Canis lupus familiaris: one gene and its partners. The protein of the gene in region 1 purifies or fractionates together with the protein of each later gene. This does not show direct contact. Links are inferred from orthologs where the notes say so. Each region holds a gene or a part of one and is shown on either strand. Other genes may lie near its edges.

What was found.
Region 2: the proteins of STYX (region 1) and FBXW7 purify together in Homo sapiens (affinity purification with western blotting; 4 studies listed by BioGRID and IntAct, with this or other methods). This does not show direct contact. The link is inferred for Canis lupus familiaris from reciprocal best matches to the Homo sapiens genes STYX and FBXW7.
Region 3: the proteins of STYX (region 1) and FBXL12 purify together in Homo sapiens (affinity purification with mass spectrometry; 4 studies listed by BioGRID and IntAct, with this or other methods). This does not show direct contact. The link is inferred for Canis lupus familiaris from reciprocal best matches to the Homo sapiens genes STYX and FBXL12.

Annotation. Positions count from the first base shown.
Region 1 is NC_049229.1:29,225,574-29,229,197, reverse strand, and holds part of STYX (serine/threonine/tyrosine-interacting protein), read right to left. Parts: intron 2,812-3,624; coding exon 2,718-2,811; intron 891-2,717; coding exon 817-890; 3' UTR 1-816. UniProt on the Homo sapiens protein: Catalytically inactive phosphatase. Acts as a nuclear anchor for MAPK1/MAPK3 (ERK1/ERK2). Modulates cell-fate decisions and cell migration by spatiotemporal regulation of MAPK1/MAPK3 (ERK1/ERK2).
Region 2 is NC_049236.1:50,770,898-50,775,065, forward strand, and holds the start of FBXW7 (F-box/WD repeat-containing protein 7), read right to left. Parts: upstream 2,803-4,168; 5' UTR 2,719-2,802; intron 1-2,718. UniProt on the Homo sapiens protein: Substrate recognition component of a SCF (SKP1-CUL1-F-box protein) E3 ubiquitin-protein ligase complex which mediates the ubiquitination and subsequent proteasomal degradation of target proteins.
Region 3 is NC_049241.1:51,576,796-51,581,143, reverse strand, and holds the start of FBXL12 (F-box/LRR-repeat protein 12), read right to left. Parts: upstream 2,856-4,348; 5' UTR 2,600-2,855; coding exon 2,514-2,599; intron 2,404-2,513; coding exon 2,331-2,403; intron 1-2,330. UniProt on the Homo sapiens protein: Substrate-recognition component of the SCF (SKP1-CUL1-F-box protein)-type E3 ubiquitin ligase complex.

The DNA of each region.
Region 1 (3,624 bases):
ATCTGGTATTACCAAGCAAAACATCGTCCTTTGTTCATTAAACTTTTTTTTCTATAGAATTAACAAATTAGGAAGATAAGACGAATGGAAGCAATACTTGGATGTTAAAGTAAGAAGAGTTAGCTAATGTCATGATTCAAAGATTAATAAGGATTAAGAAATTTAAAAAAATAAAAGGGTAATGAAGCTATTGAGTTATACTAAAACAAAAATGTGGCAGATTCCTGCATGTTAATGTTTCCATAAGAGGTTCCATCATAAAAGTCAACTGTAAAATTATTTTTTAAATGTAATATATAGAACACAAAATGAATTTTTAGCAAACTTTAGGAAATTCTTGTTATAAATTACCCAGATTTTATAAACAAATCCCCCCTAACTTGCATTTTGTTTAAAGTAATAACTTTATATCATACAAATAAATTTCAAGTATGAAAAGTGCATTATTGCAATAATACCTCTTTGCAAGTCCAAAATTCTTGTTTATAATAAAACTGTAAAGTGTAAAAAGAAAGAAAGAAAGAAAGAAAGAAAGAAAGAAAGAAAGAAAGAAAGAAAGAAAGAAAGAAAGAAAGAAAAGAAAAAGGAAAGGAAAAGAAAAAAAGGAGTAAAACCAGTGCCATCTATTGCAGAAGTCCAACATCTTCTTAAAATGTTGCTCAACAAGTTGCAGAGAAACACACCTGGAAGCAACATGTAATTGGAAAAAAAAAAAAAAAAAAAGACTTGTGTTTTTACCATTTTACATTATTATTGTCTCTAGTATTTTCTCCTTCCCAAATAGAAATTCACATCCTCTATAATGTTGCTCTTGAGTCAGCCATTCTGTGCAGTCGCTACTTGCATGTTTCCAAAATCCTCTTCTTCTTCATGTGTTCTCTTCAAACTGCCTAAAAATTATTGCATGAATATAACGGGAACTCATTTGTGAGAATGTTAGAGCTAGTAAAATTTCATTTTCATAAAGTGTTATCATGTATATGCACTATGAGAATTCCAAGACTGAATTTTTAGGAAACGTCAGCAAATCCTTTTGCTATAAATTACTAAGCAACTTTGTATCTTCATGACAGAATACATTTCCCCTCGTGAGAATTAATTATGTCTTAGGTATTACTAAAATTATGTCTTAGTATTACTAATAATCATTTTTAAAATAGTTTGAAAAAAATATATTTTAAAGATTATATAAAATGACAATATCGAGTGACAGAGAGCAAGCAAGCCCACAAAGAGGGAGCGGCAGGGAAAGTGAGAAGCAGACTCCCTACAGAGCAAGGAGCCTAATGTGGGACTCCATCCCAGGACACTGGGATCATGACCTGAGCCAAAGGCAGACATTTAATCAATTGAGTCACCCAGGCACCCCTAAAATAGAATTTTAAAGGAAATAATGGTACTTAAATGTTTGGTTACCTTTAGGCACCAGACTCTATGACTTAGAACATAAAATATAAGACATTAATTTTACATTGTACAATTTTATTTTGTAGATTATCTTTTTTGCTTTCATAGACACTGCTGAAAATTTTTCCATTGAAAGCTGTGGTTTTATTACCAACAGGTCTAGAGCTGGGAGAAAGGATGGCTTGCAGCAGATAATACGGCTGCTATAGCTAAATTTCAGATGCAGTGCTATACCTGCATTCTAAAAGAGGTATGAGGCATAAATAACTAATGCAAAGTAGAAAGTGAGGAGGTATAAATAAAGCTCTATAGGAGTTCCGAATAACTAGGGATTGGAGGAAGATGAAGTTAATCATCATTTCTCTTGAGGAGATATAACATGAACTAAGTTTTTAAGGGTAGAAAGACTGAATGTGCATTCTAGGAGGAGAAAAGAGACAAAATGAAACCATCAAGTAGTTTGGCTTTCTGGAGTGCCTATATAAAGAGGAACACTGGGAGATACCAAGATCCAGAAGCACCTTACTTACTATTAACACTCTAGGTTTTCTTCTGAAGGATTTAAGCCAGTGAAGGCTTTTGTACAGGAAAAATACATCAGAACTATCTTTTGTAAAAATAAATCTGGCCACAATGTACAGAATAGACCAAGTGAGAGTTTGGATGGGAGGCCAATATCGACCTGAAATAGAATGAGACTGAGTAAAAAAAGAGATAAACAAAGGTAGCAAGGTCTTAGAAAAGAAGACACAAGTTAAAAGATTTTGAAAGCATGCTTGGATCATTAACTTTGAAAATAGGGGAAGGAGTACTCTGACAGGCATAAGGAAGAAAAGGAGAAGGGATTGAAATACTAATTACAAGAGAAAAATTGGAGTAGCTCATAGTAGTCAACCTACTTAACCTGAAAAATCCTTTCATTTATTAATCACCTTTTATTTTTATTTTTAATAAGATCACCTGAGTGTACTTAGAGCCCCTTCTCCAGATCCCTCTTATTATTTTAATCTTTATAGCAGTTATACTATGTAAAGACTTAAGTAGAAGTTTGATCTTCCAGCCAGCATATTCTATTAACCAGGTACAATGGTATACACACAGCAGAAACTCAATATAATACACATGGATTCATTATAAAATTAAAATTTGCAATTATATTGTGTTTAATATTGTGTATTGTGTATTGTCTACCCAATGTTTTCTAAATAATTTAGATTGTTCAGTATAACTTATAAAGAGCAAAAAATGCTTTCTACCCTTCATACCATCATCCTTCTCCCCAACCCTCTCTAAAATACAAAAATCCTTACCTGTAGGTCCAGAATGAACAGATAACGACCTTTCTATCTGCAGTGGTGACATCATCTGTATTGTTAATTTTGCTAGATAGATGGCTTCATATTCCTGAAAAAGATTTAATTAACTTGAATATACATTCAAATTCTTGGGTACCCAAAACAGTGATTAATGTGTACATTATTTGTATTCTTAGTTTATACTGAAAAATTTGGTGCCATACTGTTGAAAGAGTTTAGGGATACCTGGGTGGCTCAGTATGTTAAGTGGCTGACTCTTGGTTTCATATAAAGTCATGATCTCAAGGTTGTGGAATGGAGCCCCACGTCAGGCTCCACACTCAGTGCAGAGTCTGCCTGTCCCACCCCCCAACACTCTTGCCATGCACTCTCTCTCTAATAAATACATATTTTATTTATTTAAAGACTTCATGAGAAACTTATTTTATTTAAAGACTTTATTTATTCATGAGAAACAGAGAGAGAGAGCGAGAAAGAGAGGCAGAGACACAGGCAGAGGGAGAAGCAGGCTCCATGCAGGGAGCCCCATGTGGGACTCGATCCCAGGTCTCCAGGATCACACCCAGGGCTGAAGGTGGCTCTAAACCACTGAGCCACCGGGGCTGCCCAAATACATATTTTTAAAAGAGAAATAAATGCAAGTTTAAAATTCTTATCATAAAAAAATTAAAATAAAATTCCTATCTCATATTTTCACATTTACTGACAAAACTATAAATCAAGCCACATTAACAACTTGCACTAGGGTATCATACACTGAACTGCTAGTCAGGCAGTTATCTGTTTTCTGCCACTGGGTGTTAGCTATATGATCTCTAACTTCCTCTGTTAAAACACACACACACATCCCCCAAACTCAAAAAATGATAAAAATAAAATGAAGTTCAGTAAAGATAAAATG
Region 2 (4,168 bases), on another chromosome or scaffold:
TAACTTTACATTTTCAGCATATCACTCATTAGTTTAACTATTTTTCTGTCTTCAGATTGCATCAGCACCAACTTTTTGCCCTAAAATGTAATGTCAAAAACAAAGTCCATTGCCCTATTTCTGAATTATTTTCTATAAGAAACCACTAGCACCAAACTAGAACATCTCCTTTTTCACTCCTCCAGTTGTAGAGCTCTTTGATGACCATGGTTTAAAATGTTGGTTCACTAGAAAAACAAAACTACTCCAGGTATAATGCCTCTTGAACTAAAAATACAATTTCTCCTCAATCACCTAAAACTACCCTCTCGGAACATTGTTCTCAATTGCTCCTTTGGGCTGTATACATGTAACTGCACAAACACAAACTGACTCTAAGCCCACTTAACAACCTCCATCCATATTCCCATCAAGCTAACTTCCTGATTACATTTGTCCCTCACACCCCCCAATTCCAAAAGTCTTAAACACTACCTCCACCTGTATCTTTCTTCCTAAGAGAGACCTTCTTTCCCAGATTTGGTTCAGACATTCCAATTGGGTTTGTATAGTCCAACACCAACATTTTGCTAATGGAAAATATACAAATACATTTATACCTATAAGGCACCAGAGTAGTATGACATATAATGATTGTAAATAAATATTGGCTCATTCCCCCCTTTTCCTACAATTTTGTAGAATTTATGTTTCATAGCCTATGCCATAAGTAAAAGCATCTCAAAGGCAGGGACCCCAAATACTTTGCTGTTTCTTTGCTACCCAAACATACAATAAAACATTACCGTGCTTTTTAACCAATCTCCAGTCAAAGCAATAAAAAAGAAGTCTTAAAGTTAGTAAGCAACTTCGACAGAGTACAAATCTACACTCAAGTTATAGTTTGCTAGGTATGGCTTCCCTTCCTCCCCAAAAAACAGCCTATGCCCAGACTAGATTTCTCTTCCTCCCATCTTTTGTGAAACATGGGATACAGGACTTCCTCAAGGTCTCAAAATAAGATAACAGATCCAGAGACATTTGCTTTTGATTCAACATCTAACATTACATCTACTCATCAGAATTTTCATGTCATTACCCATTTAAAATAGATAGAACTTAAGGTTCCTTACAAAAGCATCCCAAGCACAAATATATAAAGAGAAACAAAACAGCTGGAAAAGTTCCAGGAGAGGCAAAACGATCAAGGGATCAAAGAAATCATTCTAAGACTGACACAGAAAACTAGGCATGATGATGGTAAATAAAGAGGAACAATCGAAATCTAAAAAACCAGGAAAAGATGAACTCTAGCGTGTCCTAGCATTCTCAAAACAAAAACGCTGGAGGTGCCTTGGGACTTTAAAGAGACGGGTTTGGGATAAATAAATGAAATGTCAAATATTTCAGGGGCTAGTACACTTGTATAACCCACTACCTCGAAAAAGTACAAACGAAAACCCTATTTGAGAAAGTTTTAAATATATGTAAAATCAAGATCCTGAATGGAGAAGTTAGCACAGACAATCCCAGCCTTTCATTCATTCCCACAAAGCTTCTCTCAGCAGCGGCTTCACAGGTAGTGAGCCTACACTGTTGTCTGGAGGAGTCACAATTCTCAGTATGGTACTGCCTATGTTCTGTTAAATAAAATTCCACCCTATGCTTAACACTTAAGGTCTATTTAAATACATGGAATGGTCCTTACTTTCCTGCACCTCGCCTGGGCACTTTGACGGGATACCTAAACCTCACCTTCTAATAATGGAAGGGAAGAGAAAAGAATCACTCTTCAAATAATCAAATATCAAAAAGTTTCTCCCTGTTTGGTAGCAAAGTAAGGATAACTCAAACAAGCAAAGTTTCAAGTCATCCTGCCAAATTAAAAAAAAAAAAAAAAGTGCTGGCAATTAAGATAGGCTACTCAAAAATTAAAAAAAGAAAAGAAAAGAAAAGGCATTTGGGTAGGGGGAAAAAGGTAACAACTTTTATAAACTGCTTGAAGTACTAGATGCTCTTCCCCCAAGTAAGTCATGATTGGTAAGAGTCAACTTCCTGAGTACCTGAAATCTCTTACAGTATCCTGACACGCAGGAGTTGGACCCAGGAAATGAGAAGGTTAAAAAAGAAATAAAGAAAGAAAGAAAAAAAAAAGAAGAAGAAGAAGAAGAAGAAGAAGAAGAAAAAAAAAAAAAAAAAAAAACAACTCCTGTACCAATAGGTACTGAAATGAAAATCTCTCAAGGAAGACTGCAAAAACAAGAAAGGAATTTTACCGAAAGTAAAATTCAGGGGTTCACAGGGTAAAAGGTTCCCTCCCAAGAACCCTAAGAGTTGCCCCGAAACAAAAACCACAGCGCTGTTTCACACCCGGTGCACCAGGAAAAGGTGTATTACAGAGATGTCCTTTGTGTGCACATATGCTTTGGCTTCCTCAATTTCCTTTTGCCGATTTCTGGCCAGAAAGGTGCAAGTGTCCGCTCTGGACAAAGACAGAACTCCCCTGAGACAGGGACCTGTAAGCTTGCGCGTTACCCGTACAAAGAGGTGAAGCGTCCCGAGACCCAGGACGGCCCAAACCTTCTCCCCCGCGGTAAAGATACAGATGCACCGCGCCTCATCCACACGCGCACCCGCACCCGCACCCGCACCCCGCGAACGCGCGCCCCACTCCGGCAGCGCCAACCCGCCCCCCCCCCCCCGCCCCCCGCCCCGGCGCCCTCTCCCCGGGCCACTCACACTTCGCGGGAGAGCCGCGGCGCTGCGAACCGGGCCGGCGCCCGTCCTCCGTCGGGGAGGCGGCGGCCGCGGAAGGCTCCGGCGCTGTGAGGGCGGAGCGGTGCTCGCGCCAAGCCGGGCGGCCAGCCGGGCTCTTCCGCGCTGCCGGGGCCCGGGAGGCGGCGGCCGCCCCGCTTCCCTCCTGCCGCCCTCTTCCTGGGTGTCTTCAGGCTGCGTCTCCTGCCCGCCCCGGGCCGCGTCTCCCGGGACAGTCCCGTCGGCGAGGCTCCAGATTCTGCTCTTCCCAAGTTTTCCTGTTGCGCTGAGGCTGCGGCCGGCCCCCCGGGTCCCCCCCGGCCCCGCCGCCCTCGGGGCTGGGGCGGGGGAGGGGGCTCTGGGAACTCCTCCCGGAGTCCTGCCGAGGAGCCGGGGGGCCGGCGGCTGGCCGAGGGAGAGGACCCCCCCGCGAGGGGGCTGAGGACGGGGGGAAGGCGAGGGAAGGACGGCGGCGCCGCTCCCGCTCTCCCCGCCGCGCCCGGGCCGCCGCCTCACATCGGGGTCCCCGCCCCCCCGGCCGGGGGGTGGCTGCTGAGCTCGGGCCCCCGGCTCATACACTCCGGGGCCAGATGCTACGGCCCCGGGCGGGCGGCCGAGGCGGCGGCGAGGGGGGGGACCCGGCCGGCTCCGCTCGGCGCCGCCCCCGCTCCCGGCTCCCGCATGTGTCGCTGCGGCCGGGACCCCCTCCCTACACGTCGGGGGTCCCTCGCCCCGCGGCCCGGGACGAGACGGAAGCTCCGGCCCGTCCTCGGCGTCTTCGCAGCGCGGAGCGGCTGACGAGTCCCGGCCCGAGGTAGCCGCCTCCCTGCCCCCCAGCCGCCGGCTCCGGCTCCGGCTCGGGCTCGGGCTCGGGCTCGGGCTCGGGCTCCGGCGTGTGCAGCCGCGGCTGCCGGCCGGGAAGGCGAGGGGGGGAGAAGAGGGGCGGCCGCGGCTCCCGCCGGTCCGGGTCAGGACGGAGGTCTCGGCGGCGGCCGGTGCCCGGGGGCCGGGTCCCGCGGACGCTCGCTCGCTCTCACGCTCTCCGCGGCGGCGGCGGCGGCGCCCGGAGCTCCGCTCGCTGTCTCGCTCGCTCTGTGCGGGGCTCTCGCCTCACTCCAGAGAGGGGCGGGAGGAAAGCGGCGCGGCCGGATGACGCAAGTCACCTAGCAACCGCTCCCCTCACCCCCGCCCTTTTCTTTCCGCCGGGACGTTTCCTCCGCGGGCCTTTTTTTTTTTCCCCCGGTTCTAGGCACCCCGCCCTGGGTGACTGCGGCGCGCTCTGATGACGCGGGAAGGGAAGAGGAAGTCGGGGCTCCGCGAGCGGGTGGGTGCGCCTCGGGCCGCGGGACCTGCCGCCGCCGCCGCCGCCGCCTCTGCGGCCGCGTCAGAACCGAGGAGAGGAAGGGGAGGAGCCGAGGGGAGCCTAAGCTGCCGC
Region 3 (4,348 bases), on another chromosome or scaffold:
GGCCCCTGGCTGCTTGGAGACAGACAGGCCCCGGATGGGTGGGGCTCTAGTGCTCCCCAGGGCTTCTGCTCTTCCCCTGCCAGCCTGACCCTGCACCTCACAGGAGTAGCAAGAGAATTTAATTCCATCATTTTGATTTCTAGGTTTGAACAAAAACAAGGAAAGAAAAGAGAAGATCATAATAGATTTGTCTTTAGCAACTGAGTGGATTCTCATTATCTGGAGTAAGAAAGCAAAGCGACTCACCAGCATTTTATCCCTTTCTTAATGACCACTGCCAGTAGAAATAAGCAACACAAAATAAAACTGAAAAAGGCTAGAACTGTCCAGAGTAAATTAGAGCCATGTTATAAATAAGAATAATCACAACATAGTAAATGGTGAAAGCTGCAAAAATTAACCCTGGAAAGCTAATTACTAGAAAACAAAATATTGGAAGCACTGTGCATTTTATTGTAGGTACATTTTACCTTTAAAAAAAAAAAAGGCAGAAAAAATGCATAGCATAAACCCTGGAGGTTATTCGAAATTTGGAATCTGGGGCCCCATCCAGTTCACTGAATCAGAATCAGCATTTTAACAAGATCCTTAGGTAATTTATATACACAGGCAAGTCTGAAATATTCCTTTATAACACTTATTTATAATAGTAGAAAGTTGGAAATAACTAAATGTCTGTCAACAGGAAAACAGATAAATTGTGGTATATTCATTTAACACTTTAAAAGGAATGAACTAGATTTACATTCTCAGTCAAAATAAATCTCAAAAGCAATGTTGTGTGAATAAAGCTAGTTGTGGGTGGATATATAATAAGCAGCATTTATTTACCTAAATAGAATACCATTATTTAAATTTTAGGAAAACATTAACAAAATTACATATTGCTTCCCTGCACTCACACAGGAAGGAAATAAAAATGTGAACGGAAGACTACAAACGCATTTTACAATAGTGGCTACCTCTGAGGACAGCTTCAAAAAAATGTAACGAATATATCTATAAATGTCATGTGTATATATATATACGTAAACCTTTGCATGTATGTTTCACATGATGTGCGGCAAAAATGACCAAAGATCAAAGTGGGTTAAATCTGGGTAGGGCAGCCTGGTTGGCTCAGCGGTTTAGCACCGCCTTGGCCCGGACGTGATCCTGGGGACCCAGGACCGAGTCCCGCGACCCTGCATGGAGCCTGTTTCTCCCTCTGCCTGTGTCTTTTTTCTTTTCTTTTCTTCTTTTATTTCTTTTCTTTTCTTTTCTTTTCTTTTCTTTTCTTTTCTTTTTCTTTTCTTTTCTTTTCTTTCTTTCTCCTTTCTTTTTCTTCTTTCTTTCTTTCTTTTATTTTCTTTCTTTCTTTTCTTTCTCTCTCTCTCTCTCTCTCTCTCTCTCTCTCCCCCTCATGAATAAATAAATAAATTCTTAAAAAAAAAAAAAAAAATCTGGGCAGCCCGGATGGCTCAGCGGTTTAGCGCCGCCTTCAGCCCAAGGCGTGATCCTGGAGTCGTGGGATCGAGTCCCACATCAGGCTCCCTGCATGGAGCCTCCTTCTCCCTCTGTGTCTCTGCCTCTCTCTCCCTCTCTCTCTCTCTTTGTCTCTCATGAATAAATAAATTAAAAATCTTAAAAAAAAAAAAAAAGAGAGAGAGAGAAGTCTAGGTGATGATGGGACACCTGGGTGGCTCAGTGGTTGAGCGTCTGCCTTCAGCTCAGGTTGTTGATCCTGGGGTCCTGGGATCCAGGCTCTCACAGGCTCCCCGAGGGGAGCCCAATGCAGGACTTGATCCCAGGATCCTGGGACCACGACCCGAGCTGAAGGCAGATGCTCAACCACTGAGCCAGCCAGGTGCCCAATACATAAAATCTTAAAAAAAAAAAAAAAAAAAAAGAATCTGGGTGATGAATGCCTAGTTGGTTTCAGATATAATCCTCTACACGTTTCTATAATATATTTGAAATAGTTCATGCTAAATAAAACAGGAAAAATAAATACGATGCAAATGGGGAAAAGTGTAAAAAGGTTTGGTTGCGCTACTCAGGAAATAAATTCTGGAAATTAAGTTGAATCTGGAAAATGATTTCTCCAGGAAAACTCATTAATACACGATGTAAGCAACTAACTTTTGTCATATGCTCACTGTGTGCCAGACGCGGCTCTAAGCTCTCTCCCTGCACGATCTCGCTTATCCCCGGTTGGGCGATGGGGAAACAGGCTGAGGAGCAGGCAAGCGACGTTGCCCGACGCGCCCCGGGCTGCCAAGCTCCAAATCCGGGGTTCGAGGGCCAGACGCCCCACCGCGGCCCACGCCCGCCCGGTCGGCCCCGCGTACCGTGTACAGCGTCAGGTCGACATGTCGCCAGAGCCACCGGTCGTCCACCAGCCTCTTCCAGCGGTGACAAACCCTGGGGGAGGGGACCCGCCGTTAGAACAACCCCGGCCCCGGCCCCGGCCCCGGCCCCGGCCCCGGCCCCGGCCTTCCCGCCACCTCCCCGCGCGGGGTGCGGGCCGGCACCTGGAGATGCGGATCCGGTCCCGGACCGGGAGGTAGGAGAAGATCTCCAACAGGACTGAGTCCGGCAGGTCGGCCAAAGTCGCCATGATCCGGCCGACACCCACTTCCGCTGGCGGCTGAGGGGCTTCGGGATCTCGTCCCGGGGAGGCCAGCGGGCGGCGGAGGGCGGGGGTGCCAGCAGAGCGGTGGCCGCCGCCTCCGGCAGCGGACGGACTTTCAGCTTTCCTCCTGCGGGAACATGGTCCGGTCCCAGCGACAGAGCCGCCGCGACCCGGACGGAGCGCGGAGGATGGGGCTGGGAACCAGGCCCGAGCCCGGAAGGCGTGGCTGAAGCTCCGGCGCGGCCCGGAGGCGGGGCCAGGGGCGGTGACGAGGCAGGGGGCGGGGCTAGCCGAAGCTCGGGGCGTTCCGGAGGCGGGGCCAGGGGCGGTGACGAGGCTGGGGGCGGGGCTAGGGCTCGGACCAAACCTGGAAGGCGCGGCTGGGGCGGTGACTAGGGGCCCCGGGGCGAGCCTGGGGAGGTGACGGGAGACCCGGGGCGTGTTTGGGTCGAGGACGAGGCCCTGGAGCGGGATTAAGGGCTGGGACAAGGCTGGGGGCGGGGCTAGGGGCGGGGCGGAGGCTCCGGCGGGGCTAAGGATGGAGATAGAGCCGAGATAAGTGGCTGGGGTGGTGACGGGAGGCCCAGGGGCGGGGCCAAGGGCGGTGACGAGGGGCCGGGGGCGGGGCTACAGCCCCCAGGACCCAGCTGGGAAGGCGCCCTGACAGCGGAGGTGCAGGGTGGGGGGCGGGGAACAACCCGGGGTTGTCCTAAGGGGGAGCGAGGCCCTTTTTTATTTACTAATGCTTTTTGATGCCTATGAACAAGAATAAATTTGTAGAACAGAAATAGTTTAACAAAGGGTGTGTTCAATTTTTCATTTAGATTGATAGTCCCAAATTGTTCTCCACAGAGGCTGAACTGACACTCCCACCAAATATATATTGCTCATTTAAAAAATATATTTTATTTATTTATTCATGGGAGACACAGAAAGAGAGAGAGGCAAAGACACAGGCAGAGGGAGAAGCAGGCTCCATGCAGGGAGCCCAATGTGGGACTCGATCCCGGAACTGCAGGACCACACCCTGAGCGCAAGGCAGGCGCTAAACCGCTGAGCCACCCGGGCTGCCCAAAATAAAATATTTTTTTTTTAAATGAGCAATGGGGATCCCTGCGTGGCTCAGCGGTTTGGCGTCTGCCTTTCGCCCAGGGCGTGATCCTGGAGTCCAGGGATCGAGTCTTATGTCGGGCTCCCTGCATGGAGCCTGCTTCTCCCTCTGCCTGTGTCTCTGCCTCTCTCTCACTCTGTCTCTATGAATAAATAAATAAATCATTTAAAAAAAGATTTTATTTTTAAGTAATCTCTATACCCAACCTGGGTCTTGAACTTACAAGTTGGAGATCAAGAGTCACATATTCTACCCACTGACAGCTACATGCCCATATCACTATTTTTAAGATTTTATTTTCAAGTATTTTCTATGCCCAAGATGGGGCTGGAACCCACAACCCCAAGATCAAGGGTCCCATGCTGCAGACTGAGCCAGCAAGGTACCACCATCATTCACTAAATTAGTAGTTCATTTAAAAATTAGCCGTTTGGGGATCCCTGGGTGGCGCAGCGGTTTGGCGCCTGCCTTTGGCCCAGGGCGCGATCCTGGAGACCCGGGATCGAATCCCACATCAGGCTCCCGGTGCATGGAGCCTGCTTCTCCCTCTGCCTGTTGTGTCTCTGCCCCTCTCTCTCTCTCTCTGTATGACTATCATAAATAAATTTAAAAAAATGTTTTAA